6 separate regions of the Mus musculus genome follow, and regions 1, 2, 3, 5 and 6 are each reported to be linked to region 4. Evidence: microRNA targets listed by miRTarBase, many of them from high-throughput screens and not tested one by one. Region 4 holds a microRNA gene; each other region holds the end of a gene's coding sequence.

Region 1 (5,073 bases), not on the chromosome of region 4:
GAGAAGAACAAAACCAGCGCCCCTACTTGTTCTCCAATCTTCACACACTTGCTATGGAACACATGTGCCCATATACACATAAATATATTAATCATTTTAAAATAGTGTTTGAATCAATTGGGTTAATCAATTGTGAAATGTTTGGGACGGGGAGCAAGCTGTCCATGGGAAGTGATGTTATTTTCTTTGTAGATTTTACTGAACAGCCTGCGGGTCCTTGAAGGGAGGTATATTCTTTGACATATGAAGATTTTGCTTATTGCCAATAATGTTTAGATGACTGCAGCTTTACTTACATTTCCATTTCACCTTTCACGACCTGCCATTATCTCTCATCATTTTTGCTTTTTGAATATTGGTGCCTTTCCTTTGTTGCATGTTCATAACCATTGTGTTCATCAGGAAACAGAGCTTCTGTCATTCCAAGTGTGTCTCTGTGGCCTGCTTAATGACTTTGACCTGAATCCAACCTTGTTTGATTATGGCACCTGCTCTCTCTCTATTTGCATTTTCCCAGTTGCACTGCCACTCGTCTTCTCACTTTAATGATCACGAATTACTTTGTTCTCAGTAAGAGCAAGCAGCCCAGCCTTGGATTTTACTTTGTGATCCAATCCATCAGTCTCGTTGCTTTAATGGATGACATAAGCCCATATACAGGTTTGGACAAGAGGTAAGTTTGAGCAGAGGCATTCGTCTGTCATGCTTTCTCCTATACATCTTTCAAAAACCCCTTCATATTGTCTACTTGCTTCATTTTTGTATAGGTTTTTCTGATAATTTAAACGCTTTGTATTGTTGTGCAATGAGGTAAAGTTAAAATGACCTTAATTTTCAGTTTCTTTGGATCTTATCCACGATGTTAATGTTATTCCCTAAGTAGTAGTAGTCATCACAGGAGCATATACTCTTGGAAGCTAAGTCTTTTCTTTTTACTTTCTATTCACTATTTAAACATTATTGCTGTCTGTATCTCCATATGTACACATGTGTATGTGCAGGTCAGAGCACAGCTTTATAGAGTCAGTTCTCCCCTACCTTCTTCCATTGAATTCCAGGGATTGAACTCAGGACACCCACCAGGTTTTACAAAAGTGCTTCTCCACCTGTGAGTTTTGACCCCTTTTGGAGGTCAAACAACCCTTTCACAGGAGTCATCTAAGACTATTGGAAAACACAGATCTTTGCATTATGATTCATAACAGTAGCAAAATTAGAAGTAGCAGCAAAAAAAAAAAAATGGTTGGGGGTCAGCACAACACGAGGAACTGTATTAAAGGGTTGCAGCATTAGGAAGGTTGAGAAGCACTGCTTTAGAGCAAGAACCTTTATCTGTGGTGCCATCTTACCAGGCTTAAAAAAATAACTATGTTCTGCCTCATGGGGGTGGTGCTCAGCTTTAATCCCAGCACTCAGGAGGCAAAGGCAGAAGTCAGAGGAGTTCGAGGTCAACCAGGTCTACTGTCTGAGCGCCAAGATAGCCAGGGCTACACAGAGAAATCCTGTCTTGAAAAACCAACCAAATAAACAAACAAAACCTGTATTAAATGCTCCTAAGCCCCTTATTTTAAATATAATTCCACTAGATTTGGCAAATGTGTAGTCATGGTATCTAGCATATGCATATACCTTAACTTTCCAGGCATGTTTCATAAAATATAAGGTGGAAAGAGATAAGACACTCAGTTTGACCTCTAACCTCTACACGTGAACACAGCTGCATAAACATGAACACACATGACAAAAACCAAAAAATAAATTTTAATTTAAATATAGTACAGTGGTATGTGATTCTTTTGTTGTACAAAAATAGTTGTAAAAGTGTTTTTTCCATTTTTAAGTATACACTACAGACTATTTTTAAATAGTACATTGCTATGATAGACTGTATAAATTACACATTCCCCAGCCAAGCCCTTCTTTTCCAGGCTGTCATCTGTGAGAGAACACAGTACGAACTTGATGCCCTGTCAAGACAATCAGAAACAATTATCCCTCCTAACAGAATTGAATGTGCTTCTCTTTAACAAGCCTTCATGTTTCTGTCTCAATCCTGTAGATTAAAAACTTTTAACAGTAATCTAAAATTCTGCTGTTGGGGACAGACCGTCTTCTCTCAAGGAAAATGTCAGAGACTACTAAGTAGTAAACTCACAATGTCTCACTGGGAAGTCCATGACTGTGAATGAGTGTCTTTCAGGAAGCTGGAACTGAACAGTGTGTCACTGAAGATGTCAACAGCTCCCAGGAGTTGATCTGCATCCCACTCTTTTGCTTCCAAGTATTTAAAGCAAAATAAGTTTCATAAGAATGATTCACAGAACTATAGCAGGTTTAGTCATATCTGATCCACCTAGTACCTTTGGCAAAGAGAACCAGGTGCTACTGAAAAAGAGGGAACACCAGAACAAGACAAGAAGCTCTGGCATAAGGAAATGGTGCAGTTTTGTTTCCTGCAGTTCTGTTAGACCAGTACTGTGTTTTGTGCTTTGGCCCAATCATATCTGATCCTAATGTAAAAGATGGCACACTGGCCATCTTCTCGGGAAGACTTGTCCCAGGACTCAGAGATACAGAGCTGAGGAACACCTTGGGACTGGCTAGAGATGAAGGCTGTGTTCAGCCTCTGGTCCTGTTGCTTCAGCTGTTTTACTCTGTACAGGTTTCCCTCTCCTTTCTGTGCAGAACTCCCATCTGCCATCTGCAGCAGGAGGCTGGGAAGGAAGAAGAATTAATGGTGTTTCTAAAAATTCCTCCACCTCCTCCTCTGTGCAGTCCCTGCTCTATGAGGATGGGTCTGTATGTTCTAGCTTGTGTACCTCAGACCTACAGAAGAAAATTACAGAGCATACAAACAAGCAGGTAATCTGATACACAAAAAGATGTATGTCTGTTTTCTGAAAGTAGGATGGAAGCCTGACAATACTTTGTTGTAGAAAAAAGAAGTTTATGTGATGACAGCTCAGAGACACGAGGCTGAGATATGATGGAGAGGCTAGCCATTAGGAGGTCTCTTCAAAGGACCTGCTTTATACTTGTATCAATAAATCCCTACGATGTGTTCATGTGTGCGCAATATAAACAGGTACGTATGCTGAGCAGTGGTGCACACATCTTTGATACGAGCACTCGGGAGGCAGAGGCAGGCGGATCTCCGAGTTCAAGGCCAGCCTAGTCTACAGAGTGAGTTCCATGACAGCCAAGGCTACACAGAGAAACCCTGTCTCAGAAAAAATATACATATATATATATTTCATGAAAACTTTCCCAGTCCTATGTTCAAAATTGCTGTTCATTCAGAAGATAGTAAGAACCCTGCCCTGGCTTTGTTTCCTAAAATACAAGGGAGACCTAACTCTGAGACTTACACACCTTCAGAGATGCCAAGTTTTTCCTTTCACTCACCTTTTTAAAACCATATACTCAGCTTGTCTCAACGTAACAAGCTACTCACAGAGAGTGGTCTCATAAGCTAACTAACTACTACTGACTGCTGTTTGGTAGAGGGCCTCATGGCCATCCTCAGAATCACACAGCTCAGAAAGACGTCTCCCAGGAGTCAGAGATGTAGTCATGGATGGGCTAATGTACAAAATGATGGAATATGATCAAATGATGGCAATTCTCTAGTATAAAGGTACTTGTTACTGCAGGTAGGAGAAAATGTCCTGCCGGGCATGGTGGCACACGCCTTTAATCCCAGCACTCAGGAGGCAGAGGCAGGTGGATTTCTGAGTTCGAGGCCAGCCTGGTCTACAAAGTGAGTTCCAGGACAGGCAGGGCTTATACAGAGAAACCCTGTCTCAGAAAAAAAAAAAAAAGAAGAAGAAAAAAGATATGTCCTGAAATGCTAACAGAGAAAGAAAAACAAAACTAGTATCTATTCCTAAAGCCAGTAAATTACAGAATAGTGTTCAGAATGATTATGGAAGAAAGGCACCAGTAGATTACATTGGGTGTCAGCAGGCCAGGGAGATTCCTGTTGCCTGATGCCTAAGTCCACACATACCACCCACTCATCCTAATGCTCTAAGAGCAAGGAAAGAAATGTCAATCAAGCAGGGTCCTGGATTGCATATTCAAGTGCAAGAAAACAGTTCCAATTTGACGTGAGAGGAAGCTGGTCCTGGCCTAGGGTTTGGCTGCTTAGATGGGCACTCTATTCTCCTTGGCCCACTTCTTCATGATCCTGATGATATACTCCACTTGGGTGTTTCCTGTGCTTCTCAGTAAATGCAGCACTTCTCGGAGGGTCTCTCTGAGGAAAGGTTTTAGAGAACACATTTTTTTTAATAAAGAAAAACTAGCGATCTCACGACATAGTACTATATTGCAATGAGGTGTCTGTGCTCATGGACCCTCCACTGGGCATTTCAAAGCTGCTACTTTTCTAAGCCATGACAATGGGTTGCTTCTTCCACATATTTGCTCAAAAAGGGTTCAAATATAATATAAATGAGAATAGCAGTAAGGACCAGAATTTGGTGAATGCCCAGCATTTGCACTTTAACTAATACATGTTTTAACTTAAAAACTCGTTTTATGTATGCATGCATGCATCCTTATGTATGTGTGTATCTATGCATATATATATATAATCTGTGTGTATATATGTGCATGTATGTATGAGTATATTTGCACTATGCAAGTGCCCGAGAAGGACAGAAGAGGGTGTCAGATGCCTTGGAGCTGAACTTACAGGTGTCTGTGAGCACCTGACATATGTGCTGGGATTCACACTGTGATCCTCATGACTGAACAGCAAATGCTCTTAACCACAAGCCTCCTCCAGCCCCAAGTTAAGATTTATTATAATTAAAGCTTGGAGTTTAGGTGAGGCAGGCTGAAGCTTCTCTGGTGTCTCATCAGAGATTTGGCAACTGTCTGTGGATTTGCTCCCCATGTGGTCTTGTCTTTTTTGTTTGTTTGTTCGTTTTTTCATTTTTTATTAGGTATTTTCTTATTTTACATTTCAAATGCTATCCCAAAAGTCCCCCAAACCCTCCCCACCCCCTCCCACTTCTTGGCCCGAGGAACCTCCTGCATCTGACTAAATGCTTGTATTCAGGATTA
Region 2 (5,073 bases), not on the chromosome of region 4:
GCAGTGAGTCTCAGTGTGTTCTGTGGGCCAGCAGCAGCATCACCTGAATCCTCAGGCCCCGCCCCAAGCCACTGAATTAATCCGCCTCGGGGCGGGGCGGGGCCTGGGCACTCAGTTTTGACCCGCTCCCAGGTGATTCTGATGCTAGTTTGAGAACCACTGCTGTGGTGGAAGTGCTCGGTGGGATCGAGGTAAGAAGCACAGCACGTTTCACCCACTTTGCAACTTGAGATGTTCTTCAGCCTGTTTTGCTCCTGAGTTCCTACTGCCTCCATGTCTTGAAGTCCTTGAGGGGTACAGTGGGGAGGAAGGACATCTTGGGGATAGCGGCTCCCTCAGACCTCTAGCTCTTGACTTTGCCCTACTAATATATCTCTGTCTTGTGGAGCTGTGCTCCAGGCCCTCCCCCTCCCCCTTTGACCATTTTCATGCTCTGCCCTCCAGCCCTAGACTCCAATAAAATGTCACCAAGAGTGGAGTTGGGTGGAGGCTGAAGCTGGTCCAAGGGATCCTGGCTTTGCTGCCCTCACCTTTCTCATGACTTTTCCCCCCAACCAGACAGCTATTAAGAGAAACAACCCCAGGAAGTTTCTGCGGAGTGTTGGAGATGGGGAGACTGTGGAGTTTGATGTCGTGGAAGGAGAGAAGGTTTGGGTGCTGCTGTGGGGTGGAGTTGGCCAGAACTGTGGGAGGGTGGCCTGGAGGTCAGCCGAAGCTCTGGCCCTCCTGGGACCAGCTCTGCCTCTGCCTGTGAACGCTAGAGCTGCTCTAGGACATGTCCTAAAGAACCCATCCCTGTCACCAGCCAGTAACATGTGGGTTTCTTCTCTTTAGTTCACCAAGCACTTCCATGTCTGTTTTCTACACGGGACCCCAGCCCTAACAGGACCCTCAGTCAGTCCTCTGGAATGAAGGAGGGACAGTGGCTCTCTCTATCTCATCCTGTCCTGTCTTTACACTCTGGGGGGAATGTGGCAGTTATTTCTAAGGACAAGTTGTTTCTTCTCAGATGGGTACAAACTCTTTCTGCTGCCCCTCGGGGGAGGGGACAAAGGAGGAGTGGTTTTGAGGAGTGATAGGGTAGAGGACTTGGGCCTGAAGAAGTGGGACACCAGTGATCTGGCAGGTTTGTAAGTACTGTGTGTGTGTGTGTTGTCAGAACAGGTTCTGATTGCTCCCCCTCTACCTCCCCAGGGTGCAGAAGCTGCTAATGTCACTGGGCCTGGGGGGGTACCAGTGAAGGGCAGCCGCTATGCCCCTAATCGACGTAGGTTCCGGAGGTTCATTCCTCGGCCTCGCCCAGCTGCCCCACCACCTATGGTGGCAGAGGCTCCCTCAGGTGGGACAGAACCTGGCAGCGAAGGGGAGCGGGCAGAGGACTCGGGGCAGCGACCTAGACGACGGCGCCCACCACCCTTCTTCTATCGAAGGCGGTTTGTGCGAGGCCCTCGGCCCCCCAACCAGCAACAGCCCATAGAGGTGAGAGGAGAGTTGCAGCCGGGGAGGCTAGTTCTCTTACATTATGGAAAGAAGTTGGGGAGTTGTGAGGGCAGAGACTGTGGTCCTCACAGGAAGTAGAACGAAGAGCAAGGAAGCTCCAAAGACATCAGGCGTTCCACAGCCCACCTAGGCCTTTGTGTATTCCCAGGGCTCTGATGGGGTAGAACCCAAGGAGACAGCACCATTGGAGGGTGATCAACAGCAGGGAGATGAACGGGTGCCCCCACCCAGATTCCGGCCCAGGTACCGAAGGTAAGACTGTTGTTTTGTCTTCCCCTTCAGGGTCCAGTGTTGGGCCTGTGTGAAATGACAAAAGTTCTAGAGCCTGGAACAGATGGGGACAAACCAAGGAATCCTGGGAAGGGAGTCTGCCCAATTCTCTGATCCTGTCAGCTTGTTTCTCTTTCTAGGCCTTTCCGCCCCAGGCCACCCCAACAGCCTACCACAGAAGGTGGGGATGGAGAGACCAAGCCCAGCCAAGGCCCCACTGATGGCTCCCGGCCTGAGCCCCAGCGTCCACGAAACCGTCCCTACTTCCAGCGGCGTCGGCAGCAGCCCCCTGGCCCCCGGCAGCCTATAGCCGCAGAGGTGAGGGTCTTGGTACTTTCTGTCCTTTTGCACCTCTACTTTCCTTGTCCCTGTCCCTCTGGCATCCTCCCTGGCCCACCCCTGGCTGGCATTACTCACCAGGAAACCCCTATGCAGGCAAGTCAAGCCCAGGGTGCCTTTGCATGTCCCATCCCCATGCCCATCTTTGGGGTGTGAAGTGTGAGAACTGGTTGGAAGGGATGAGAAGAGGAAAGTTAAGAAAAGGTTGAAGTAGGGGGCTGTAAACAAGTAAGTCTCAGTTCACCACTGCTCTTCAGACCTCCGCGCCTATCAACAGTGGGGACCCCCCCACCACCATACTGGAGTGATTCCAACTCAGAGGACACCCAGAGCTACCATCTGGTGAGTGCTACATCTCACCAAGAGCCGGAGAGGGGGAGGGGTGGTGGATTCTGCCAAGTGACCCTTTATGATTGGTCTCCCTCTCTTTCTCTTAGGTATCTGCCAGTTTCCAACTGACTCTACCCAGCATCCCCCTCCCCACTTTCCCATAATTCATGACATCAAAACATCGGCTTTTCCCTTGAGACTCAGGAGGGCCAAAGCACCAGCCTTTGGCTTTTTTCTCTTTTTTTTCCCTCTCCCCTAGCATGGGTTGAAGGAAGGGATCCATCCTTATTGTTCCGAGGCATCACCTCCCTCCCTAGTCAGGCTGAGAAGGAACCAGCCAGCTCATACCTCCTCCTGATTGTTTTTCTTCCCCACCCATTTATTTTTTGTTTCCCTTCGACCTCCCCCCAACACCTCTGAAGCCATTTTATGAACTGTCATGTGCCACCTGAGCCTCCAGTAAAAACAAAAGCAGGCTTTCTTGTTGTCCTGGTCTCTGGCTCTTCTGTTTGAGGATGAAGACTCTCTGGTGGGGCTGAGACCCGAACAGTGGGCAGGGCCTGCTAGTACTTCCTTGCTCCAGTACCCCTAGCTATTCAGTTGTGACATGAACCCTTTCACCAAGAGTAACTGGATCTGTTACTGGGGGTGAAGTCTCAGCAGTGCCCAGGCACTTGTAAATACAGTTTACAAACCACTTACTGTTCATTTAGGCAGTGGATAAGGGCTGGAGAGATAGATCAGTGGTTAAGAGCACCGACTGCTCTTCTAGAGGTCCTGAGTTTAATTCCCAGCAACCACATGGTGGCTCACAACCATCTATAACAGAATCTGATGCCCTCTTCTGGTGTGTCTGAAGACGGTGACAGTGTACTCACATAAAATAAGTAAATCTTTAAGCAGTGGATAAAAATCAAAGTAGAAAGATGTGCCAGCGCTCAGAGAGCTGAGACAGGATTCCTAATTCCAGGTCATCCTGAGCCACGTTTCTGTTTCCAGAAAACAAATTGTTTTAAAAAGTAGAGCATTTGGGTTCAGGCCTGCAAACCAGCTCTCTGGAAGGCTGAGGCAAGAGGTTTGCTACAAGGCAGCCTGGGCTATGCAGTGAAACCCTAGTTTTTGGAGGAGGGCAATGAAAGTGGATGTAAATAAGTGACAGCTGGGCATGGTGGCACACGCACACCTTTAATCCCAGCAATCGGGAGGCAGAGGCAGGCGGATTTCTTGAGTTCAAGGCCAGCCTGGTCTACAAAGTGAGTTCCAGGACAGAGAAACCCTGTCTCGAAACCCGCCCCCCCCTAAAAAAAAGGTGACAGAATCTAGAGGCCTCGGTGCCCTGAGCCCAGGAAGGATGAAGTGCAAAGGGTGAGTGAGGCATTTTCTTTTTGCACACCCTCCAGTTCCTCCAGCACAGGACACTCATCTTCAAACAGTGACTTTATGGACGAATCTCTATATACACATTTAATACAGCAGCCCTTGGGTTTCTGCTCCCTATCCGTTCTTCAAAACATACAAAAATACCAAAGGCTCCCTCCCAACCAGTGTTTATAGGCAGCCTTTCAAATCCCCTCCCGCCCTTAGTTGGTCAGAAGCTTTCGGGTTTAGCACCCTTCCTGGAGGGGAACAAGAAAGTGTTGGTACCTACGCTTTGCAGCCCTGGGAACAACCTAGGGCCCCAAATGGAGACTGATGCGCTCTAACCGTCCTTGCCCTGTCAGGTATGTACTATTGTGTTCCTTTGCCCGGGAGGGTGGAGCCTGTGGGGAGGCAGGGCTAGATTTTGGGAGGGTGTATCCTTTGCCCTGGAGGGGTCAAGACAACCCCCTTCACCCAGAGCCTGTGTGGCAAGAGTTCAGTGGAAGTGCCAGTTTGTGGGAGGAAAGCACTCGCTCACACACCCACCCCTGCTGTTTATCCTGATGAATTCAGGGCCACCCCACCCTCCTGCAGACCCCTTCTCGAAAGGGGAGGAAAGTAGTCTAGAGCTGAGTCTGGGTAGGGGCAGGAGGAAGGCAGGACGGAGAAAGCCCATCTAGGTGGCCACAGCCTAGCCACACACATAAATAATCCAAAAGAATCACACAGGGGGAATGAGGGGTACATGGACCACCCCTCCCTTCAGCTTCCCAGTTCCCCAGGCTGCTGTTCCTTCAACCTGGAGGTAACAGGGAAGAGAGGGCTAAAGTGCTGTAGAGGAAAGGAGGGAGTCTGGGTGGAGAGGGTGGCTCTCCCACCCTGTTTTGCCCCTCAGTCATTCTCATCTGGCCCTAAGTATTCAAGTTCTGTACTGGGTTTCACCTCCTGCTCTAAAAGGGAAGGTGTCCGTCGGAAGGCAGCTGAGATCTGGTCAAACGTCCGGCCTCTGGTTTCAGGCACTTTTAGGAAGGTGAAGATGAAGAAGCCAAGCAGGAGGACGGCAAATAGAAGGAAGACGTAAGGACCCATAGCATCCTGGGACAGTTGGAGAAAGAAATGTTGACAGAGATGGGAAGCCAGGAACCAAAGACTAAGGAAACTGGGGCTATGTGAGGAGCAGGTTTGCTCCCTTAAGAGGCAGTGGCAATGACCAGAAATGAAAGCTTTCACTGAAAATCTCATTTAGCTTTTTTACCCTTTGCTCTCCTAAGTGTA
Region 3 (5,073 bases), not on the chromosome of region 4:
GACTTAAATAATTTTTCTGTTTGCATGTGCCAGCCAGGAATCCAAGCACAGCTTGGCTGGCATCATGGTCAGACCATCGTCTAGGGCTGTTGAATCTGAGGATTCAACCGGTGCAGGGAGGATGTCTCCCAACTCCCTCACAGTGTTGCTCAGCAGACCTCTCTGGCATCTCTCTACAAGGTGGCCTCATAGCATCTCAGCTAACTTCCCCTAAGAGGGGGATACAAGAGAGAGCAGGAGGCAGCATCCAAGATAAAAGCAGATAAAATTTTTATCTCATGTGCATCGGTGTTTTGCAGCATTTGTGTGTGTGAAGGCAATGGACCCCCAGGAGCTGGAGCTACTGGAGTTGTGGGTACTGGGAATTGAACCTGGGTCCCCTGGAAGAACTGCTGGAAAAGCAGTGCTCTCTGTAACCTACTTCTGTTCTACTCATTAGAAGCTGAGCTTCAAAGGGGCCCACATCAAAGGGTGGCAAAGAGTGAACAGGGCACAAGCATCAGAGGTGGCTTCACCAGGGACCACCTCAGAGAATACCCACTGCACAGAGGCACCAGAGGCGCTTAGCATCGGCTGTCTGCAATGACGGGAACTGGGTAGATGGGGGAGAAGTCTTCCCTGGATTTTACACTTCAGATGACGTGTACCTTATTCAGCAAGTAAATCACACTTATTTTAGATCTTAAGTCTAAAATAATAATCAGGAAGATAGCACTTTAGGGACTAGAGAGAGGGCTTAGTAGTTAAAAGCACTTGCTGCTTTAGCAGAGGACCCAAGTTCAGTTCCCAGCACCCACATGGCAGCTTATAGTCATCTGTAACCCGAGTTCCAGGGATCCAATCCCCTCCGCTGGCCTGAGATTACAGGTGCATGATACTGCACCTGGCTTTAGTGTGAGTGCCAAGGACACTCAGGTCCCTGTGCCTACTCACTTTACTGTGCCTACTCTCTTTACTGAAAGCCATCTCCTCTGGCCCCTCACCCCCAATACAAACGGTTAAGTAAAAACTCAAGATTCTACCCAATCTGGGCCAAGCTGCCCTCACAGGTGGGACCTTACCATCCCATCCTAGGAACTCTACACAGCTGTTGCTCTGAATTGTATTAAGGTGCCAGGCTCTGGGAGTAAATGTAACACGCACGGTGCCAGCACACAATGGCACTCTTCAAGTGGTCCCCATGCAGTCAGCGCCTCTCTTCTCCCTCGGTGCTTTTGACCTCACCTGTACTCATTCTGTTACTTTATAATACAAATCAGAATCAGATTCTTTACAATCCCTAGACCACCAGCATTAGCATTACCTGAGGCCTCATCAGAAACAGACCCATACCGACAAGATGAGTGTATTGTTTTGTTTTGTTTTTCCGAGACAGGGGTTCTCTGTGTAGCCCTGGCTGTCCTGGAACTCACTCTGTAGACCAGGCTGGCCTCGAACTCAGAAATTCGCCTGCCTCTGCCTCCCAAGTGCTGGGATTAAAGGCGTGCGCCACCACCGCCCAGCTAAGATGAGTGTAAAAGGTCATTATCACCCCAGGACCTCCAGGACCAAGTTCTCAGCACAAAGGAGGGTGGCGAATAAGAGGCAAAGACAGGAGACAGAGGACAAGGAAGAGGGGAAGGGCAGAGAACAAGGGAGCGGGGAAGGGATATTTGTCCCAGAGGATAGACAACTGCTTCTGGATAGAGAGGAGACAGATGTGGCCCACAGGAAAATGGCAGTTTCTAAAGGCCAAGGGAAAATACTGGGTTAGGATTAGGTGTTTAATTTTAATTGGACAGGTTAATTAGGTGAGCCAAAGGGGGCATTTGATTGCTGGACTTCAATACTTTGATAGCTTGACCCTGGTGGTCAGCCTTATTTGGAGGAAGTGGCCAAATAAGGGAATAGACCTTGGAGGCTAGCATCAGGATGCCCTCTACTGGCCTTAGTTAGCACCAGGCACACAAATGGTTTACAGACATATATGCAGGCAAAACACTCATACACATTAAAAAAAAATATCCTGTCGAACTATAATACTCCCAGTGGCTTTCTTTCATTTCTATACCCAGGGCTCAGCATAGGGCTCAGTACTAACAGCGGGCACAGTGGCACACCTCTAACTCTGGCATTAGAGAGGCTGAGGAAGATCATTAGTTGCTGTGGCAATCCCAGAACTGGGGAGGTGGAGGGAGAGGATCCCCTAGCTCACTGGCCAGCCAGGATAGTTTAACTGGTAAGTTCAAAGCCAATGAGAGACTCTGCCGCAAAGGGGGAGGATGGCACTCCTAAGGATGACATCTAAAGTCATCCTCTGGTTACCACACACATACATGCACATATGCTCACATACATTAGCATGCATGCATATACACAAACATGCATAAAGAGCAAAAAAAAGTAATATATTTACCAAATGTCATATAGCCTATATAGTACAGTTTTATTGACTTATTTACAGATGTCCAACTATCCACAAATTTAGAAACAATGAGTTTGTGTCAATGTCTTTGTTTTGAAATTTGTGAAGAACAGTAAAGGGATACAGATCAAAATATTAGGGTGGGTTTTACATTATACTTTTCTGTATTTAAATTTTTTCTTTAATTGAAAACAAAAAATATAGTAAGAAAACAAAGCCACTTTCTTTTTAAAAGTCTCCATCCTTAGCTGGGTGGGTGGTGGTGGCGCATGCCTTTGATCCTAGTACTCAGGAGGCAGAGGCAGGTGGATCTTTGAGATCAGCCTGGTTTAGAGTGAGTTCCAGGACAGCCAGGGCTACACAGAGAAACCCAATCTTGTAAAATCAAAAGCTAAAATAAACCCATTCTCTGCACTACGCCCTGTACACGGCAGCCCTGACTCGTAGAGCACATGGGAAGCTGAGACCCCCGAGCAGTGGCTGTGGCACAGAAGGCAAGGGTCGGCACCACTCCAGGCTGCCTCTCAGTCTCTTTCCCGGCACTGCATGTGATAGCTAATCTTTGCTGTCAACTTGACATCTGGAATCAACTAAGACTCAAGCAACTAGGCAGGCCTGTGAGGGCTTTCTTGATTGGATCATTTGAGGTGGGAAGACCCACTCTAAATCTGGATCATTCGGGGGTAGGACCCACCCCATATCTGGGCCACACCCTGTGGTGGGAGTCCACATATCATCATATGGAAGAAGAAAGCTTTTGCTTTAGGTACGCCGGCCCTCACTCTTGCTGCCCTCAGTACTCTCTCTTTATATTCATTCATGTTATCACTAGTCCTGTTCCTTTAGAGAACCCTAAAACATGATAACACCTATTGGCAGATATTGGGCTTATAATTTGAAGTTAGAATCCATTACTACAGGAGAGTCAGTGGCAGGAACCTGAAGCAGCTGCTGGTCACAGCATACTCACCATCAAAGGTGAATGCCTGCTAAGTGCTTAGCCTGCTCTTTCTCCTTTGATCCTGGCTCCAGCCCATGAAATGCTGCCACTCACATTCAGGATGGGTCTTCTCACCTCAGTTAAGAAAATCTTGCATGTCTGCAAGCCAACCAAATCTAGAACATTCCTCACTGAGACTCCCTTCCGAGGTGGCTTTGTCAAGTGGACCATAAAAACCAACCATCACAGCCGGCATTCCCTCCCCTGGCCGGTTACCCCAAACTCAGAAGACCGTGGCCAATGCAAGGTCCCTTTACCTTTTTGTCTTCCTTTTTGAGACAGTCTCAGTATGTGGCCTTGGTTGACCTGGAGCTATAGAGACCAAGGTGATCTCAAAATCACAAAGACCCACCTGTCTTTGCCTCCCTAGTCCTGGGTGGGATACCCAGCTCCCCACAGACACCTCAGTGGCTTTTAACAGCAACAGGGGACCTCCCTCAAGAACAAGGCATTCAGAACCGCTCACGCTGCACCATCGCCCCCTGGTGGCTGACTTTGGAAATGGAAACTGGCTTCATAATGAGCTTCGGTGAAGGAGTAAACATTTTAAAAGTTCCCTTTTCTTCAGTCCTTTCCTTTTTGGGGTTTTGCAGGTGATTGACTTTGTCCCCCAACTTTCCCCCTCCCCCCAGACACACACACTGCTCCCGCCCTGGACTCCCAGACCCACTCCTATCTTTAAGCCATTAAGGACTCAGATACTGACACACACAGAATCAGGACCTGAGCCAACCAGAGACTATGGTTCAGATGACATAGGCAGCGGTGGCCACACAACCTTGCATTCTGCCCTTTCCTGCCTTGGTGGACACTGTTTATCAGCACTGCCTTTCCTGTCTCCTCAGCCTCTATCTGCTTCTCAGAGTCATAGGTGCAGCTGTCATGGACCCTTGGCCATGGCCTAGCACGGAGAAGTCCTAGGCACTGCTATTCCAGTGAGTCAGGTAGCAATGCTGACCCTCACTTAGAAATAGCCTAGTGTAGCAATGGCAGCCCTCAGCTGTGGTGCTCCAGATCTCCAGACGCTGCACAGCCTCCTGGCTCCTCCAGGAAGAAGGAGACACTCACCAGGACATCTAGAACAGGAAGCAAGGGACAAAGCATCAGGTTTATCAAGGCCCAAGAGCACGGAGGGGGTGTGTCTAACCTCTCCAGAGAGGCAGCACAGGACTGACGGACACCAGTACCTGACACAAGAGTTTGGCACTCATTTTCTGAAATCTGGTCCCAGGCCTTGGGCAGTGCTTGGATGCTGGCCAAGTCTCCCCAGTGGATGGAGGAGAGGAGGTACTTTCTCTTCAGGTACCTTCCCAGAAGTTAAGGACTGCTCAGAAGAAAAAGGAACTTACAAGATATCTGTGTCACTAGGTCATATGCTCTTATGGGACTACTGTTGAATGTGGTCCATCTCAGTAATGTGATTAGAAATCAAGGCAGGAGAGTAGAGCCAACCAGGGCCTCCAGCGCCTAGCCTATGGCAGTGCTTAGCGATATCAGGGTTAGCGGCGCCACTAGCACACCTAGTACCACTATTGCAGTTATAATAGGAAACAGAGGGACAGGAGGAAGATCGTCCCTACATATCTAGATTGGGTGACAATCTCCTTTGTCAACTTGTCTGGATTTAGAATCGTCATGGAAACATGATACAGGTTGCATCTGTGATGTT
Region 4 (5,073 bases):
TGATACTTAGGCTGAGCTGAGTTTAGGCCATCAGAGACCTCGGTGCAGCAGAGCTGTGAGGGAGATAGCCGCTGGGGCTGAGGGCATAGGTTTGGGATGAGCTGGCTGGGAGCTATAGGAAGGCACATAGGAGCACACTTAACAAGCACTGAGGGCCACATGTGAGGTGTCTACTTGGAGGAGTGGCTCGTGGCTCCTAGCTGCCCTTGCAGGGGCTCTGGTACACTCAGGAGTCAAGTGGTTCTTCATGTGAGCAGAAGCTGAGGGGTGACTGGGGCTGATGGAGGTCTGAGCTACCCTCGAATGAGGATTTGGGGCAATGTTCACCGAAACGGTCAAGTCAGAGAGGCTTTCTCTGGGGCCTCTGACAGTGTAAGCAAGAGGCACCCTCCCTCGTACTTGTGGGATCTTCAGCTCTTTTGCAACTCAGCCTGTAGCTAGGGATGGGTCTTTGTAGTCTGCTGGACAGATAAGACAGACATCCACCCCAAGTGAAGATACAGAGCATCCTCTCTCCTTGCAGCTGAGAGCTGGACTGAGTGCTACACAGTTTTGAAGGAACAACTCTAGAGTGTCCTTGAAGATGATGGGGCCCGCTTACAGTAGCTTCTCTCGCAGCACCTCTAAAGTCACCAGCTCACCTTCTTGGCAGCCTGGAGAGCTACGTGTACCTCCTGGCATTTCTCTGTTTTCTGAGTGATGGGAAAGGGGCTTATATGGCCAACACTTGGAGCCACATCTCTAGCCGCCAAGTCAGATGTATTGGGAACAACTGCACAGAGGGGAGAGGACTCCGCAAAGGGCTCACACTAAAACTGTGCTCTTCCTCTGGGGGGAGGACTTCAGAGGGAGTACAAAGTACCTCAGCCCCTCACAGCTTGGTGGTGATGCACCCCTTTTCTGAGAGCCACTTAGCGCAGGATTCCTGTGACCCTTCTGTGCTGAGCAGCTCTTGGGCCTGACACCATCCCCAGCTGTCCCAGCCTTGTTACCTATGGGTGCCTGGGTTGGTTGTCCATGTTGATGGTTGGGATCAAGGGTGGGTGGGTGTCCATCAGATGTGTCTTTCTGTGATGGGCCTCACTGTTCTTCTGTTTGCTTCTGCCTCCCACTGTTGCTCTACTGCACCCGTGGGAGCATGATGGCTCTGCTCCGTCTCTCTTCTCTGCTCAACCAAAGAGTTTCAGAAAAGAGAAAGGAAGCCTTTTCTGAAGTCTCTAGACTTGATTTCTTGTCCTCAGTGCTTGCCCTGGCTGAGGGCCCCGTACAAGTGAACTCTGGGAAGATGATTTGTCTAGGGTCATGGACAAAGGCCTTAGAAGATGACTTCCAAGCCTATTTCGTTAACGACCTGCATTCATTAGAAAAGGACCTGTGTTTTCAAAAACATGGCTCTTGTGTCTCACATGGTCAGACAGTAGCCAAAAGATTGCCCATAAATATGTCTTCTGATGGCTGTTTGGCTACTAGGACAGAACCATTAAGTTGAAGAGCTTAAAACTATGACCTTAGCGGCTGTGTGTCTGTTTTGTTTATGTCTTAACATTCCCTACCCCATCTCTCTGTTCTAAGCACCTCTGAGCTCTCAGCACAGTCCTGCCTTTGAAGCCTTGTGTGATGGGGAGCCTCAAGGATTGGAGCCTGCACTTCTTCAGCTGCTTCTGCTGTGAGCACAACATTCAGTCCTGAGGAAAAGGTTTGCTAAGTAGGAGAACTTGGGGGTTCTTCCTCCTCAGGTATGGATTGATTTTTCACCTCACAGAGACCCAGTCAGCACCCATGGGGTGGGGCATTTGAGTTGGGAGGTGGGTCTTGCTGGAGCAGAGGCCCAGCAAGGTGGATCCTTCTTGGAGCGTGGGAATCTACAGGGCTGCTTAGAAATGGTTTGATTGGTTCATAATGGCACCTTGATAGAACAAGAGGGTTTACTGTACAGGATACTTGCCACACCATGGCCCTCTTTGTGCTACTACATGCAAGTGAGTGAGTCCATTGGATGGAGTGGTCATAGACAGATCTGGCCATGAGATGAGTGTCTCTGGACCCCCACTAACTAGCTCCTGCCCAATTGACTGCTTCCTGAGCACCACAGCTATTTGAGGTAGGCTGGGACGTTCCTGCCGTGCTTGAAAGAGACACCAAGAGGCATAAGAGGCCCAGGCCTTTGGCAGAGGAGGGCTGTTCTTCCCTTGAGTTTTATGACTGGGAGGAACTAGCCTTCTCTCAGCTTAGGAGTGGGCCAACAGCTTCCTTCCGATCTCCAGGAGAATGTTGCTGGTTGACACACGGAACTCATCCTCTAAGTTCCCCCACCCATCAAGGTAGCTGGTGGAGTCAGAGATAGATGTTTCTAAAAGCCATGGAGAACTTTGAGGTCTTGTCATAATGCCCTGAGCCTACTACTAAGACTGCCACCTTCCCATTGTCGATGCAGTGGCTTCTGAGCGCACGTAGCTGGGAAGCGGGTGAGCGGGCCAAGATCCAGGTTAGTGGGCATTCGAGACTACAGAAAGAGACCCTCCTAGGGTCTTGGGGTTGGGGAGACAGAGGCAGGGCCCCTAAGAGGGGATCTCCATCTGTGTGCACACAGAACAGCCTATGTGGAAGGTGACAAGAGGGCCTTTCTGGAGGGCCCCCCCTCAATCCTGTTGTGCTCGCTTCAGAGGGTTGGGTGGAGGCTCTCCTGAAGGTGTCCGCAGAGCGTCGCATGGTAAGTAGTCCCTTGGGGCTCTAGAGAATGCTTGCTGTCTTTGGCTTGATCCCAGTGGCAGCCTCTGCTAGACTAGTCCTGCCCCCCAGTTAGTGCTCATGGGGTACCAGAGACCTGACCCCACCCTGTCTGCTCTAGGCTAATAGTGCCCTGCTTCCCTGGGCTTGTACCACCTTGTGTAGTATCTCCCTACTCTTCTGTATCCTTGGCTGGGAAACTTGCTTCCTAGCACCAGACCTTCCTTGATGTGGTTGTTTGCTTTCCTTTCACTTATCTTTTCTTTCCTACAGGAGTGGGATGGACATCAGTCAGATCCACACCGGTCTTCATGGCAGCCCCCCTTTTTTATTTATTTATTTATTTATTTTTGAGACAAGATCTCACTGAATTATCCATACTGGCCTTAAAACTTGGAATCCTTATGCCTTAGACTCCAGCATTTCTGGCATAAACTGCTGTGTCCAGTCTAGAAGGCATTTTGGTGAACCACCCCTGTAAGACTGAGCTGGGGGGGGAGGGTGTCAGGCACCCAGTTTTGAGTTACTCACACCCAGCCTCTCCCAAGTGTGACACAGTATCTGCCTAATAAATTCACGAAGAAAGATTGTTTGGTGTTGTTCTCATCTGTGCTCTGCGCTCTACCCAGCTCTGCCTGGTGTGCCCATCACTCATCCCACTTCACCAGCTTGCTTCTAGCACACACCTGGCTTGATCTTGCTTCTTAGTGTCTCTTCCCATTAATTAGATTTAACTCAACTGCAAGAGGGCTGGAGCACCTTTCATTTAGAGTACAGTAAACTCTGAATAGAGGGAGGGCGGGAGGGAGGGAGGGAGGGATGGGGGGTAGGAGGGGGAACAGATGAGTGTGTGGATAGATGCGCGGGTAGGTGGGTGGATGGATGGATAGAGAGACATTGAAGAAGATTCAAACCAATAGTGCAGGTTAAGCACTAAACAGGGAGTGAAGGCTGTGAAGCCCAAATGGGAGGCTGTGTATCAGCCGTCTCGTGAGCAGAAGCTAGAGTAAAACCCTCAGATATGAATTCTATAAACTTCAGTTCTCTTCCTTTGGGAAGCCCCAACAAGCTACTCACTCACCAGCCATAGGCCGCTGTCCTCAGGCCTGCTGTTTCTGCTTTTCCAACACTCCTCTGCACTGAGCCTCCTTCTTAGTGTTACCTGCCACTCATCTTCCCACCCTCTTCCTTGTCTGTAGCCATTGTCTTGACAAAGAGGTAAGACTCTCCTGGCTGTGTTACTAGTGGGAGAGAATGGTTGGCATCAAGAACTGCAAAAATCACCACATGTGTCAGGAGAGACTCTGGGAGAAAACATAATTGGATAAGGGGCAGCTGCTCTCTGAGCAAGGATCCCCTGGGGTCCTTAGCTCTAGTCATGTGTACCCTTGGCCTGGCCACTGGTCTCATGAGGCTGGACTGAGATTCTGGGGGCCTCTTGAGCACGAAAGGAAGTGAATTCCCATGGCTTGTATTCACTAGATTCCAGAAGCCACTACCCCCATCCTGTCACAGCAGAAGCTTTTTAGACCTTGTCCCAGATCATACTGGGGACAAATGACTGACTCTACTGGGAGATCATGGTGTCTGTTAGCTGCACTGATTTTTTTACCTAACTTAATTACAAATTAATTCAAAGGAAACAAAATACATATAGCATGTGGGTTGTCACCTGTCTTCAACTCTGTCTAACTATCCTGCTGCCTGGGACAGTTAAGTATGAGAACCTGTGGCCTAGCAAAGGTTCCAGTGGTATAAGGAAGTCTCCCTTCATTCACAGACAGACAGACAAAGTAGGTAGGACTCACCAGGCATGCACACGCATGGCCATGTCTCTCCCTGTTCTACCTAGACTTTGGTGCAAAGACCATTTACTAACTAAGGGATCCAACTTCTGAGGAAGGAAATGGGTGGTTCTTAGTACTACTGGATGAACCTGGAGCATGGATGTGCTGTTGTAGAGCTCAGAGTGACCTAAGTTTGATGGTAAGTGCTACCAAGAGTCAAAACTGAGCAGTTGAACCAATTGTTGTCCAGGATTATAACCCAGCATTTAAATGTCTGAAACTCGCTGAGAGGTTCTGCTCCCTGCCTTCCATCCGTAGAACCCATGCAAGAAGAGAGCCGACTCCACAAAGTTGTGCTTTGACCTCCACACACAAAAGAATAATAGTTTAAACAAACAAACAAAAAAATGTTTTAAAAATCCATGAGCCGTTAAGGGGGCAAATGGGTAAATAGAATGTGAGAAAACACAGAGGAATTGCGGTTACTGCCATTCACTCCAGCGAGCAACCTCCTGTGGAAGAAAAGCCAGAGTCTCAATGAACAGTGCAGACTGGCATT
Region 5 (5,073 bases), not on the chromosome of region 4:
ATGGCAAGCACTTCAACGCCTTCTCCCACGGAACTTCTCACCAGCTCTAGATTGTTTTTGTTTGCTGTAGTGGTCTTTTAGTATGAAATGCTTTAACACATTTGTGCAGGGGTCATGCTAATTATCTCTGTATCATTTCAGTTTTACATAAATATACTGTCAGAGCAAGATGGTTTTATTAAGTCCGTGCTGGTCTCAAACTGAAGGTCCTCTTAGCCTCCTGTGTGTTGTCTGTGGGGATTATAAGCACCACACCTGGCTACTTCCCACTTTCCTCCCAAGACAGGGTTGCTCTGTGTAAGCCATTGGCTGTCCTGGAACTCGCTCTGTCCATGAGGCTGACTCAGAGATCTGCCTGCCTCTGCCTCCCAAAGACTGGGATTGAAGGTATGTGCCACCAGTCCGCACTTCTTACCCTTTTATTCAGCTTAACATGCACGTTCTTAGAGTTGGATGCTCATACATGTCCATTTATTAGTAACGCTGGAGGGAGTGGCTGCTCTGTGTTCAGAGGCTGCTTCCTGAGTTTTTGCCAGCGACAGGTATCCTGGGTGGTTGGTGGCATCTCGTGTCTTTGTACTACTTGATTTTTGTATAGACAGTGTTTGTGATTTAATGTAAACTGTCTTCCTTGTTTGTAGTGATGCTAATTTTGTTTTCTTTCCCTCTTCCCTTACAGGTTGGTGACATTGTGAAAGTCACAAGGATGAATATCAATGGCCAATGGGAAGGCGAGGTGAATGGGCGCAAGGGGCTTTTCCCCTTCACACATGTTAAAATCTTTGACCCTCAGAACCCCGATGACAACGAGTGATTGCTGTGCTGTCCCTGCTGCTGCCTCCTTCTGCCTGTCAGTCTCCTTTGAAGTGGGAAGCACTCTGTCACATGCAAGTTACACCGAGCTGCTGGCGGTCAGCTTTCCATACATTGGCAGTCCCTGCACATACGGAATGCCTCAGCAGCTGCCTTGCTCGCTGGCTCGGCATTTGTATCATAGTCATGCTGTCAAAGAGTAGCTGATTTAGAGTTCTTGTGGATTGTGAACTGGAAACACTGGTGGAAGCACACAGTAGAGACTGGAACCCAGAGCAGCTCTTCCTTCCCATCCATCACTGCCTTGTTTGTACTGGAGGCTGACAGAGAGAGCAAGCAAGCCTGCTGATGGTCTGCATGGAGACGGTGAGGCTTGGCAAGGTCTCGCTTTGCTGGTCCACAGAACAGTGGTTTTGCCACCAACTCAGTTTTCTTTGGACGACAGAGGAAGTAAAACTCCAGACAATTCTGTCCCGAACTCCTCAAGTCTGGCTGGTTTTCATTTTCTTTTGTTTAGTTTTGTTTTTTGGAAGACTAATTAATTATAGTTGTGTGTTCTGAACAGATTTTTAAATAGTAGGTTGGTCTATGATGGTCTAAGGAACAATCCATGTCTCTGAGCTTCCAAACTGAAGCCACTGTACGTAACTAAAATAGGAAAAGACCCCCTCCAGGGGCCTTTATCTTTTGGTTGCCACAGTACCTTGTTTACCATGTGGCAAACAGTGCACAGCAGCAGTCATGGTGTACCTTGCTGTGAAGCACCAAGGTGGGGGTGGGCCTGCTGTCATCGCTGCCTCTGACAGGAGCAGACAGGGTGGGCCTCTTCAGTGAAAACGTTTGAAGTCTGTGGGCTTACTAGATCCGTGAGTTAAATTGCATTGCTGTGTTCCACCACAGAGGCCACCCAGCCCTTCCTGTACTGACCTAGCTTGTCCAGGCAGCTTGAGAGTGGTGTCTGTTCTGGTTCCACAGCCTGAGTAGAACCAGAATACAGTGCTTCTGAGCAAAAGAAGACGCCCCTCGATCATGAGCCATTTTTCCTTGCATGTCAGCTACTACAGATATGTGTCTGATCCCTCATCCACACATGGCAAACCAGAGCTCTAGAACCTTTCTAGAGTGCACTCTTTTCAGTTGGACCCTGATGAGGATACACCTCCACACAGAACGAACGTAGCAGACCTAGAGATGGAGTAGTGGCTAGTGAGCAGCTCTAGCATTTACAGAATATCTTCTGTAACCATGGCCCTGGTTCTGCAGGCCTGAGGCTTTGAGAACTAATGGAACATATTCAGGTGACAAAACCAACAAAACCCTTTGTCCACTATATTTATTTCTCTTAAAGACTTTAAATTTTTGTTTATGTTGGGCATGGTGGACACACCTTTAATCCCAGTACTCAGAAAGGCAAAGGCAAGTGGATCTCTGAGAGTTCAAGGCTATCCTGATCTATGTAGTGTGTCACAGGACAGGCAGGCCTACATACATACCTTGTATCAGAAGATGGCCCAATCCCCCCCTCAGACCTCCCCCCAAAAAAAACTGTATATGGGTGTTTCCACTACATGTATGTATGTGTATCACATGGGTAGTTTGTTAGGAGGCCAGAAAAGGGTGTTGGTTGGATCCTCTGGAACTGTGGAGTTACTCTGTGGGTTCTAGGAATTGAACCTGGGTCCTCTGCAAGAAGACCTTAACCACTGAGCCATTTCTTGAGCCCCATTAGTTTCTCTTTAAATCAGTAGTCCATCAGGCTAAGTTCTATAGTAAAGAATGTTCATGTGACAAAGTAATGGTCATTTGGGGTATGGGGAGTGTCACGTCTGTAGAGGTTACTTCTTTTTGTCTCTGAAAGCTGCCATTTCTAGCCAGACCTATTGAGTGGACTTAAGTGTTCAGGCCCCAGACTCTGCCTAAATCAAGATTTAAGACTTGCCTTCTGGCCAGTTACACAGTTTAGCCCCAGGCCTTTGATGTCTCCACTGGAATACACACCTTGTTCACTGAGGGCACAACCCCCAAGGGATACCCCATCACTGGGGCCTGAACCTCATGCCTTACACGTGCTAGATAACCGGCTGCCAGTAAGCTTTTGAAATCCGAGATGGGATCTCTATAAATTGCCCATGCTGGCTTCAAGATTTCCATCCCAGCCTCAGCTGAAATTATAAAGGTTTGAGTCACCACACCCAGCTCTTAAGGTCTTTTAAAACTACATTTAACTGAAGGGCTTGGTGCCTTTTGATTATAGCACCTTGCTTAGCATAAACAGCCATTTTTGAGAACAGGGTTTCCCTTTTCCCAAGACTGTTGACCAGCAAGACTCTAAGGAATACTTCATGATCAGAATGTCCCATAACCCTGGAGTTTGCTTTATGTAATCAGTTAATTTGGCACATGTAAATGTCTATGCAGCTTCCTCAGAGATCCAGATCTCAAAATAAAGACTTAACTTTCTGAACTCTCAGGATACGTGCGTGCGTGCCAACAATAGTAATTCTCTGACTTAGAAGCTCATCGATTTTTAATCATGGAAATCTCTCTCACTGATAGAAAGCAGCATCTTCCCCAAGTCCCACTCTTCTGGGAAGACCCTTGGTTTCAGGGGAGTACGATGGAGGCTTCCTTTTCTCATCATCAGTGCTGTGTGGTCTGCTCTGCCATGTTGTAGAAAGTACTGGGATGATAAACCCACTTGCTATGGCTGTTGTATCTGAGAAGGAAACAATTAGGTAGTTGAGGGCTTTAAGGGCTAGTTAGTCCTGGGTGACAGCCCCCCACCTCCACCTCCAACCCCATACAGAAGGCATGCTTGTCACTCTGCACTGCTCTGATGCCACCTGTTTCGAGGTTGACAGGGTGTCCTGGCTTTTGTCATCCAGACGTAACCCTCTGTGCTCACTGGAAGAGACTCTGCCCTCTTTTCAAGTTGCACGATCCTGGCACTGTGCCAGCCTTCCTCTACAGCTGTTTACAGACAAGATGGGCCAAGACTGATGGCCACTGCTCTTGTAACCTTTACTCAAAAGAATAATGAGCATTTAAAAAAAAAAAAAGGGATGATGTGTTTTTGTTCCAGGTGTTCATAATTTAATCTTTTAATATTATGTTCATTAACCTCTTAAAATGAGTGAATTCTTGATTGTTTTAACACAGTACCTAAGACTAATGCTTTCTGTGGACTCCTCACTCTGGAACCAGTGAACCCCTCCCTGGTTAACTGCTGTGAGCGTGGACGCTGAGCTGCTTGTATATTCTGAAGGAGCAGGAGGACAGTTCTGAGACAGGAGGACAGTGGCCTTGCTTCTAGACGGTCTTCACTGTGTGTTTTAAAATGACATAAAACTCTTTTGACGTGTATAACTTAAAGAACATAAGCATCAGGCAATAATATTTTCTGTGTAAGCTTTTAAAATTATTTTTGGGGATCATAGCTTGTTTTATTTTGTGCTATAAAATTAACAGTATTAAATGACTTATATTCTTAGAATACATTGAGTGTCTTTTCTTAACAGATTAGTGCCTTTTTATTTTTGTATTCCATTTTGCGTTACTGGTCCCAGCATCAAAACCCTTGTTTCCATGGCCTGTTTGTACATTGTCTCAATAAAACTTGCACCAGCCGGCGTGGCAGCAGCCTCGGTGTTTCAGTGTCTCCTCAGTCAGCCCCACCAGACTCTCCCAACAGTTCAACTGTGCTGAAGCCCCTGGTACTCCCCAGAGACCCACTCACGCTGCTCCTGCCTCCCTCATTCAAAAATGACAGCTTCCTAACATGGGAGCCTCCTCCAAAAGGAAATAACTCTTTTCTGGGTGTCGTGGAAGCAAGCACTTACTCAGCATTCCGAGCAGGAGGTGCACTCGGGGAACCAGTGGGTTGCTTGGTCCTCGCCCTGCCTCAAAACAACCTTCTTTGCAGGGCTCATGTTTCCCTTGTGTAAACCTAACAAGCAAGTTTCATCCTTTCCTTTCTGTCTGCCTGTCTTATTTCTCTACCACCTTAGGAGGCAGGGTCTGTATGTAGCTCTGGCTTCTCACTCTGTCCTAAAAGAGTGGGAGGCTTGCTAGCTCTCGCTCTCCAGCTCAGGCTGGCCTCAGACTTCTGGAATTACAGGTTTGTGTCACTGAGCCTGGTTCGTTCATTGCTGGGATAGAACCCAGGACTTTGTTCATGTTAGGCACATACAGTACCACTTAAAAGAGTAGGAAGCCCTGTGCTGAGGTGCCCTATGGCTGAGGAGCATGGGATTCCCCGTT
Region 6 (5,073 bases), not on the chromosome of region 4:
TAAAACACCTACACAAATATGCTGAGGATTCTATATCATGAGATGTTTCACACCCTCATAACACACTAGAGTGGGATATGAGAAAGAAGTAAGTTGATATTATGAGTTGAGTTCTGATATTCCCAAATGAATGCTTTCAACATCATTTACAGAATTTGGTGCATAAGAGGAACTTATTAAAATATGAAAGCAAGAGAGAAATTATCTGTAGAAAGGAAGACGACAGGTGGGTGAAACTAAAAGGAGGACAATGGAGACATGAATATAAATAAACAATGTATCTATGTAGGAAGTGTTGTAATGAAGCCCATTACTTTCCATGCTAAAAAATACTAATAAGTGCATTTATTTTCAATATACACACATGTACATATATACATTATTCATTATTTTTGCCAGATAAGTAAATTATTTAGAAAATATAGGCTACAGTTTTGGGAAATAACCCCTTCCTCAGCAATCAGAATGCTGCTTTAGAATCAATGGCATTCCTCTGTTTTCTAAACAAAATACCCTTAGGTAGAGACGTTAAGGTTCCTAATCTCAGCCAATGGGACACAGTGAAGACTTAGTGTGGACATGTGTAAGAGAGTACTTTATGACTTATACAAATTAGAATAAAACTGTCATTGTGTAGATTGTTTTTAAATCATGTGATATTTTGTTCTCGTTAGATATGACAATCAAAGAAGATCCATGGACCCAGGTTACCCCAAAAGCATACCAAGCATGTTCCCAGGAGTAAACTGTAGAGTCGATGCAGTTTTCCTGCAGGACTGTAAGTGGGGGAAGTTAACAGCACTGTTAAAATCTTAAAGTAACACATTTGCATTTCTATATCCTGTTTGGTTTATTTGGTGAGAATTCAGTGAGAGCTGAGATCTATAACCTAACTTGGACATGTGTCTCTTTCTTACAGCCTTCTTCCTCTTCTTCAGTGGACCACAATATTTTGCATTTAATTTTGTCAGTCACAGAGTCACTAGAGTTGCAAGAAGCAATTTATGGCTTAACTGTTCATAGAGTTGAGCAATGTCAAATGTCCTTGCACGCACCCTATGAGGACAAAAAGGGAAGCTCAGTCTGTATACTCATCCCACGTGTCCTGCCCAGACTTTCCTCAGTGGTAACTAACTCTGCAGCCCTCTTCGAAGAACCAGCGTTTGTAATCTGGCATTCCCAGCCATGGCTAACTCCTTCTGCATATTCCGTCCCTGGTTCGTGAATGCATCACAAAGAGAGCAAGCCGTTTACTACCTTACTCTTCACTATTTCATTATCTGCTCTTCTGCCTTCTAAAACCTTTTGTTTTATTACTTGCTTATCTAGCTTCAAATGTTCCTAAATCTCTTCAAACAGGGAATCTAGCATTGGATTTTCATTACAAATGAAGATTATAAACACATAGATATTATCCCCTTATCTGTACAGAAAAAAAGTGCTGTTATTTCCTCCGTTGGAAAAATATGAAAAATATGTAATGTGTGTTGAATCATGCCCCTCTGCATGCCAGAAAAAAAAAAAAAAAAAACATTGAAATCTTAACCCCAGCTGTTTATCTAGCTGTTAACCAGAGTCTTTGAAGATATAATGAATTATGTGTAAATGACAAGACAGCCTTAAACAGGGTTAGGATGAGCCATAAGTGCATACATATGTTCTTATAAAACGGAGTGAGAGGTGTGGATGTCACTCAGAGATTAAAGTTTTTTCCTAACATGTTTTATTCTGAGGAGATTTGGGAAGAATCAGCAGAGGTATGGGCACATGATAGAAGAGACCAAGCAAAGAGAACCAGACACTGGAGGGCTGTATCTATAAATCTATTTGCCAATAAGTTCCCAGGCAGAGGCAGGTAGGAGGGGTTTAAAAAAAAGGACCATTCCTTTCTCAAGCACATTCCAGAATTGAGGCACTTGTTGATATGGGTTTTCTGGCTTTTGTGAAAAAATAAAGTTGTTATTCTGCTCTATTGAATGTGTATTGTTTGTTAAAGAAGCAATAGGAAGCTGACATAGTACATCAACCCTTAAGACCACTATGTGGTGTTGCTGCGAAGAGGAGTGCCTAACTAGCATGTGTGAGGTCCTGGATTCAATTCCTGGGAGAGGGATTTTAAAAAACAAAAACAAAACATAATAGTAACAAAACAAAAACAAAAATACCACCATCAAGTTCATTTAGAATGGATTGATACCTCTCCCCAGGTACTTATGTAGCAAAGGGCTGCCTTGTCTGGCCTCAGTGGAAGAGAAGGAGCCTAATCCTGTAGAGACTTGATGCCTCAGGGTAGCAGGGAGATACCTGGGTGGGGGACACCCTCTCAGAGGCAAGGGAAGGGAGACAGGGAGGGGGCGACATTTGAGACGTAAATAAATAAAATAATTAATAATCTTTAAAAAAAAGAAAATAAATCAACACAAAGTCAAATCAAAGGCCTGCTTGGTGACCATGAGGCACTTCCCAGAACAGCAACAGGAGAGGCCACCTCCTAGCTGCCCTCCCTGATCTCTCCTTCAATGTCAAACCAGTAGGCACAGCCAATCAACTTCAAATGCCATATTCCTGGAACTTCCTGATAGGACAGTTTTTACAGATATAAATGCAAGATACTTCTGTGAGCTGCTCATGTGAGTTTGCTGACCCAAATGTTTGAGATGAGAGTTTAGTTCCTGCTATTTTGTTGGCCATACTTCGGAGTCACGGGCATTTTTTTAGGCATCGTATTTATGTGAGCACAGAGATACAAAAAGCTAAACTTAGATTTCAAAGGACAAGGTTTCTCTGCACTTGTTTTTAGCTTATTCAAAAGTAAACCCTGTGCAAAGACCCTGATGCAATTATTTTGAAAGGGCAGCATGATTCCAGGTCCACTCTTTGCAGGGAGAAGGAAAAGAGGGGGGGGGGGAGCTCAGCGAGTGTCACCAAGGTTTTTGCTATGGGGATCTGGCTGTGCATCCACCTACTAAGAATCCCACAGGACACTTTATACTGGAGTTGGGAAAATTCTTTGCCATTTCTCAGGCCCTAATGGGAGAGAATTATTCTGGGGTGTTTAATTACTAAACTTCTAAACTATAACTCTGTGCCATGCCAAACACAGAAACATTCATAGTTTCTCACAAGAAGGCAAGTTGCATAAATCAGAGATGTGCTGTCAGCGATATCTTCTACCAGATTTGTATCTAGAAGGTGGTATGTAAGAACCTCGGGGGGGGGGGGGGGGGTCTGCTCTGGAGAAACTTAGCCATCTGGGAAAAGCAGGTATACAGATGCTGACCCTGCAGGAGCTTCAGTGTGGCTGCCCCAACATTCTCTACTGCTTTTGCAATCCAGTTTCAGTGTTATTGCACAACCAAGACTTTACAGTTTTACGTACAGACAGGTACGGCATGTACCTAATTCTCACCCAAAATTTGTAGCTAACTATTGAGTGGTGTACTGGCTAGTTTTGTGTCAACTTGACACAGCTGGAGTTATAACAGAGAAAGGAGCTTCAGTTGGGGAAATGCCTCCATGAGATCCAACTGTAAGGCATTTTCTCAATTAGTGATCAAGGGGAAAGGTCCCCCTTGTGGGTGGGACCATCTCTGGGCTGGTAGTCTTGGTTCTATAAGAGAGGAGGCTGAGCAAGCCAGGGGAAGCAAGCCAGTAAAGAACATCCCTCCATGGCCTCTGCATCAGCTCCTGCTTTCTGACCTGCTTGAGTTCCAGTCCTAACTTCCTTCAGTGATGAACAGCAATGTGGAAGAGTAAGCTGAATAAATCCTTTCCTCCCCAACTTGCTTCTTGGTCATGATGTTTGTGCAGGAATAGAAACCCTGACTAAGACAGGTGGGGTTCCTCAAAGAATATTAAGAACTTTATTTCTCTTCCTTCCTTGTTTTATGCTACCTGCAATGTAGGTTCAATAGCCATCTTTTGAGAAACCACACAGCCCCTGATGTAGAGAGGTGATTCACTCTAGACGCCACAGACCAAACCTCGGCTGCTCTTACACAAACAAAATATCACTTTGAGTTTTATTAACTATCTGCTATTGTGCATTTTCCTATTGTGTTCAATTAAATCTCATCACATACCATAGAAGCCTGGAATACACCCTGCCTCCTGTAAGAAAGGTCTCCAACTCCCCACACCCATCCTTGGGTACTAACAGCTTCTCAGATAACTTTCTGTCCCAGAAGTTCCAAGCAGATTGCACAACATAGTTAACAAACATTTGAAAGTTGGCAATGTGATAAACAGACATCCAACAAGAAACTCTGAGAAACCAGAGACAATTCTGGTAGAAAAAAGCAAACAGTTGCTATAAGAATGTTTAACATGTGGAGGAGAAAAAAGAAGTTGGGGGAGGACTGGAGGAGTGGAGGGATGAGAAACTGGTTAGGATATAAAAAACAAATAAATTTTTAAAAAGAATGTTTAACACCATTACCATAAAAAAGACATTACAAAAAACATTCAAATATAATACTAAAATAAATAATAATAACAAACAATTACTCATATTTAACTAGCCAGTACTCCTAACAATTAAAGACACAGAGGCTGGGAAGTGGCTCAGTAGGCAGAACTCATATAGAAGCCAGGCACCATAGCACAGTACTTAAACTAATATCCGACTCCATTGTCTCTTCCAATCACACTACCAAGATATGCTAGTGTTTTCTGCCAAAGTAAATTATTTCAAAATTCATAACAACCTACCAAAACTACCAGTAAAACTACCAGTTTTGAGACCAGAAGACTAACTTGGGGGCCTTGCTATTGTCAGCGCTCAAAAGTGAGCAATGTGCTAGATAAGCAATCACCAACTGTGGTTGCAAAATTCAAGTTTATCTAAGGGGAAAACGAAGTCATGAGACACTTCATGGCAATGTGCTTTGCTGTTATTAATTAAGTGATTACTTCATGCCACGTCTCACTGTCAACTTTCTAAATGCCATACAAACAGAAACAAGCTTTAACTGAAGAGACAGGAATGAAGTGCCTTCTGTCTCTGATGGTTAATTTTATAACACTTTCCGCTGCATTTCCTCCAGACAGGAAGGACAAAAATGAGGAGAACAA

Evidence for each region. Region 4 holds the annotated microRNA mmu-miR-298-5p (GGCAGAGGAGGGCUGUUCUUCCC, at 2,167-2,189, shown strand). A microRNA usually pairs through its seed, bases 2 to 8, with sites in the 3' UTR of a target mRNA and lowers its output. Matches are read on the target gene's strand: a 7mer-m8 pairs with bases 2 to 8, a 7mer-A1 pairs with bases 2 to 7 and ends in A, and an 8mer does both.
Region 1: miRTarBase lists Ttc26 as a target of mmu-miR-298-5p. Seed matches in the 3' UTR shown: 7mer-m8 at 3,714-3,720 and 7mer-m8 at 3,137-3,143.
Region 2: the mRNA of Slc2a4 is a reported target of mmu-miR-298-5p. Seed matches in the 3' UTR shown: 7mer-m8 at 3,645-3,651.
Region 3: miRTarBase lists 9930104L06Rik as a target of mmu-miR-298-5p. Seed matches in the 3' UTR shown: 7mer-m8 at 2,700-2,706.
Region 5: miRTarBase lists Crkl as a target of mmu-miR-298-5p. Seed matches in the 3' UTR shown: 8mer at 2,494-2,501 and 7mer-A1 at 3,635-3,641.
Region 6: miRTarBase lists Mmp8 as a target of mmu-miR-298-5p. Seed matches in the 3' UTR shown: 7mer-A1 at 1,135-1,141 and 8mer at 1,500-1,507.

The regions. Positions count from the first base shown.
Region 1 is chr6:38,424,313-38,429,385 of GRCm38, reverse strand. It overlaps Ttc26 (tetratricopeptide repeat domain 26), which reads right to left. Exons shown (of 18, transcript NM_153600.2): 18 at 1,739-4,258. The coding sequence ends at 4,147. Among named protein-coding and RNA genes, the nearest start is that of Ubn2, 7.1 kb to the left of the region's middle.
Region 2 is chr11:69,938,680-69,943,752 of GRCm38, forward strand. Slc2a4 (solute carrier family 2 (facilitated glucose transporter), member 4) reads right to left here. Exons shown (of 11, transcript NM_009204.2): 11 at 3,607-4,893. The coding sequence ends at 4,690. It overlaps Ybx2 (Y box protein 2), which reads left to right. Exons shown (of 9, transcript NM_016875.3): 4 at 559-648; 5 at 1,195-1,479; 6 at 1,649-1,752; 7 at 1,911-2,088; 8 at 2,367-2,451; 9 at 2,547-2,924. The coding sequence ends at 2,417. Among named protein-coding and RNA genes, the nearest start is that of Ybx2, 5.3 kb to the left of the region's middle.
Region 3 is chr4:124,941,990-124,947,062 of GRCm38, reverse strand. 9930104L06Rik (RIKEN cDNA 9930104L06 gene) reads right to left here. Exons shown (of 5, transcript NM_177573.3): 4 at 4,592-4,710; 5 at 2,402-4,480. The coding sequence ends at 4,401. Among named protein-coding and RNA genes, the nearest start is that of 9930104L06Rik, 7.5 kb to the right of the region's middle.
Region 4 is chr2:174,264,669-174,269,741 of GRCm38, reverse strand. It overlaps Mir298 (microRNA 298), which reads left to right and starts at 2,157; the gene lies at 2,157-2,238. Mir296 (microRNA 296) reads left to right here and starts at 2,617; the gene lies at 2,617-2,695.
Region 5 is chr16:17,482,982-17,488,054 of GRCm38, forward strand. Crkl (v-crk avian sarcoma virus CT10 oncogene homolog-like) reads left to right here. Exons shown (of 3, transcript NM_007764.5): 3 at 680-4,459. The coding sequence ends at 814. Among named protein-coding and RNA genes, the nearest start is that of Aifm3, 6.4 kb to the right of the region's middle.
Region 6 is chr9:7,566,516-7,571,588 of GRCm38, forward strand. Mmp8 (matrix metallopeptidase 8) reads left to right here. Exons shown (of 10, transcript NM_008611.4): 9 at 675-778; 10 at 920-1,971. The coding sequence ends at 1,023. Mmp27 (matrix metallopeptidase 27) reads left to right here and starts at 4,881. Exons shown (of 10, transcript NM_001310717.1): 1 at 4,881-5,073. The coding sequence starts at 4,943. The region is part of intron 2 of Gm31751 (a long non-coding RNA gene); the gene reads right to left.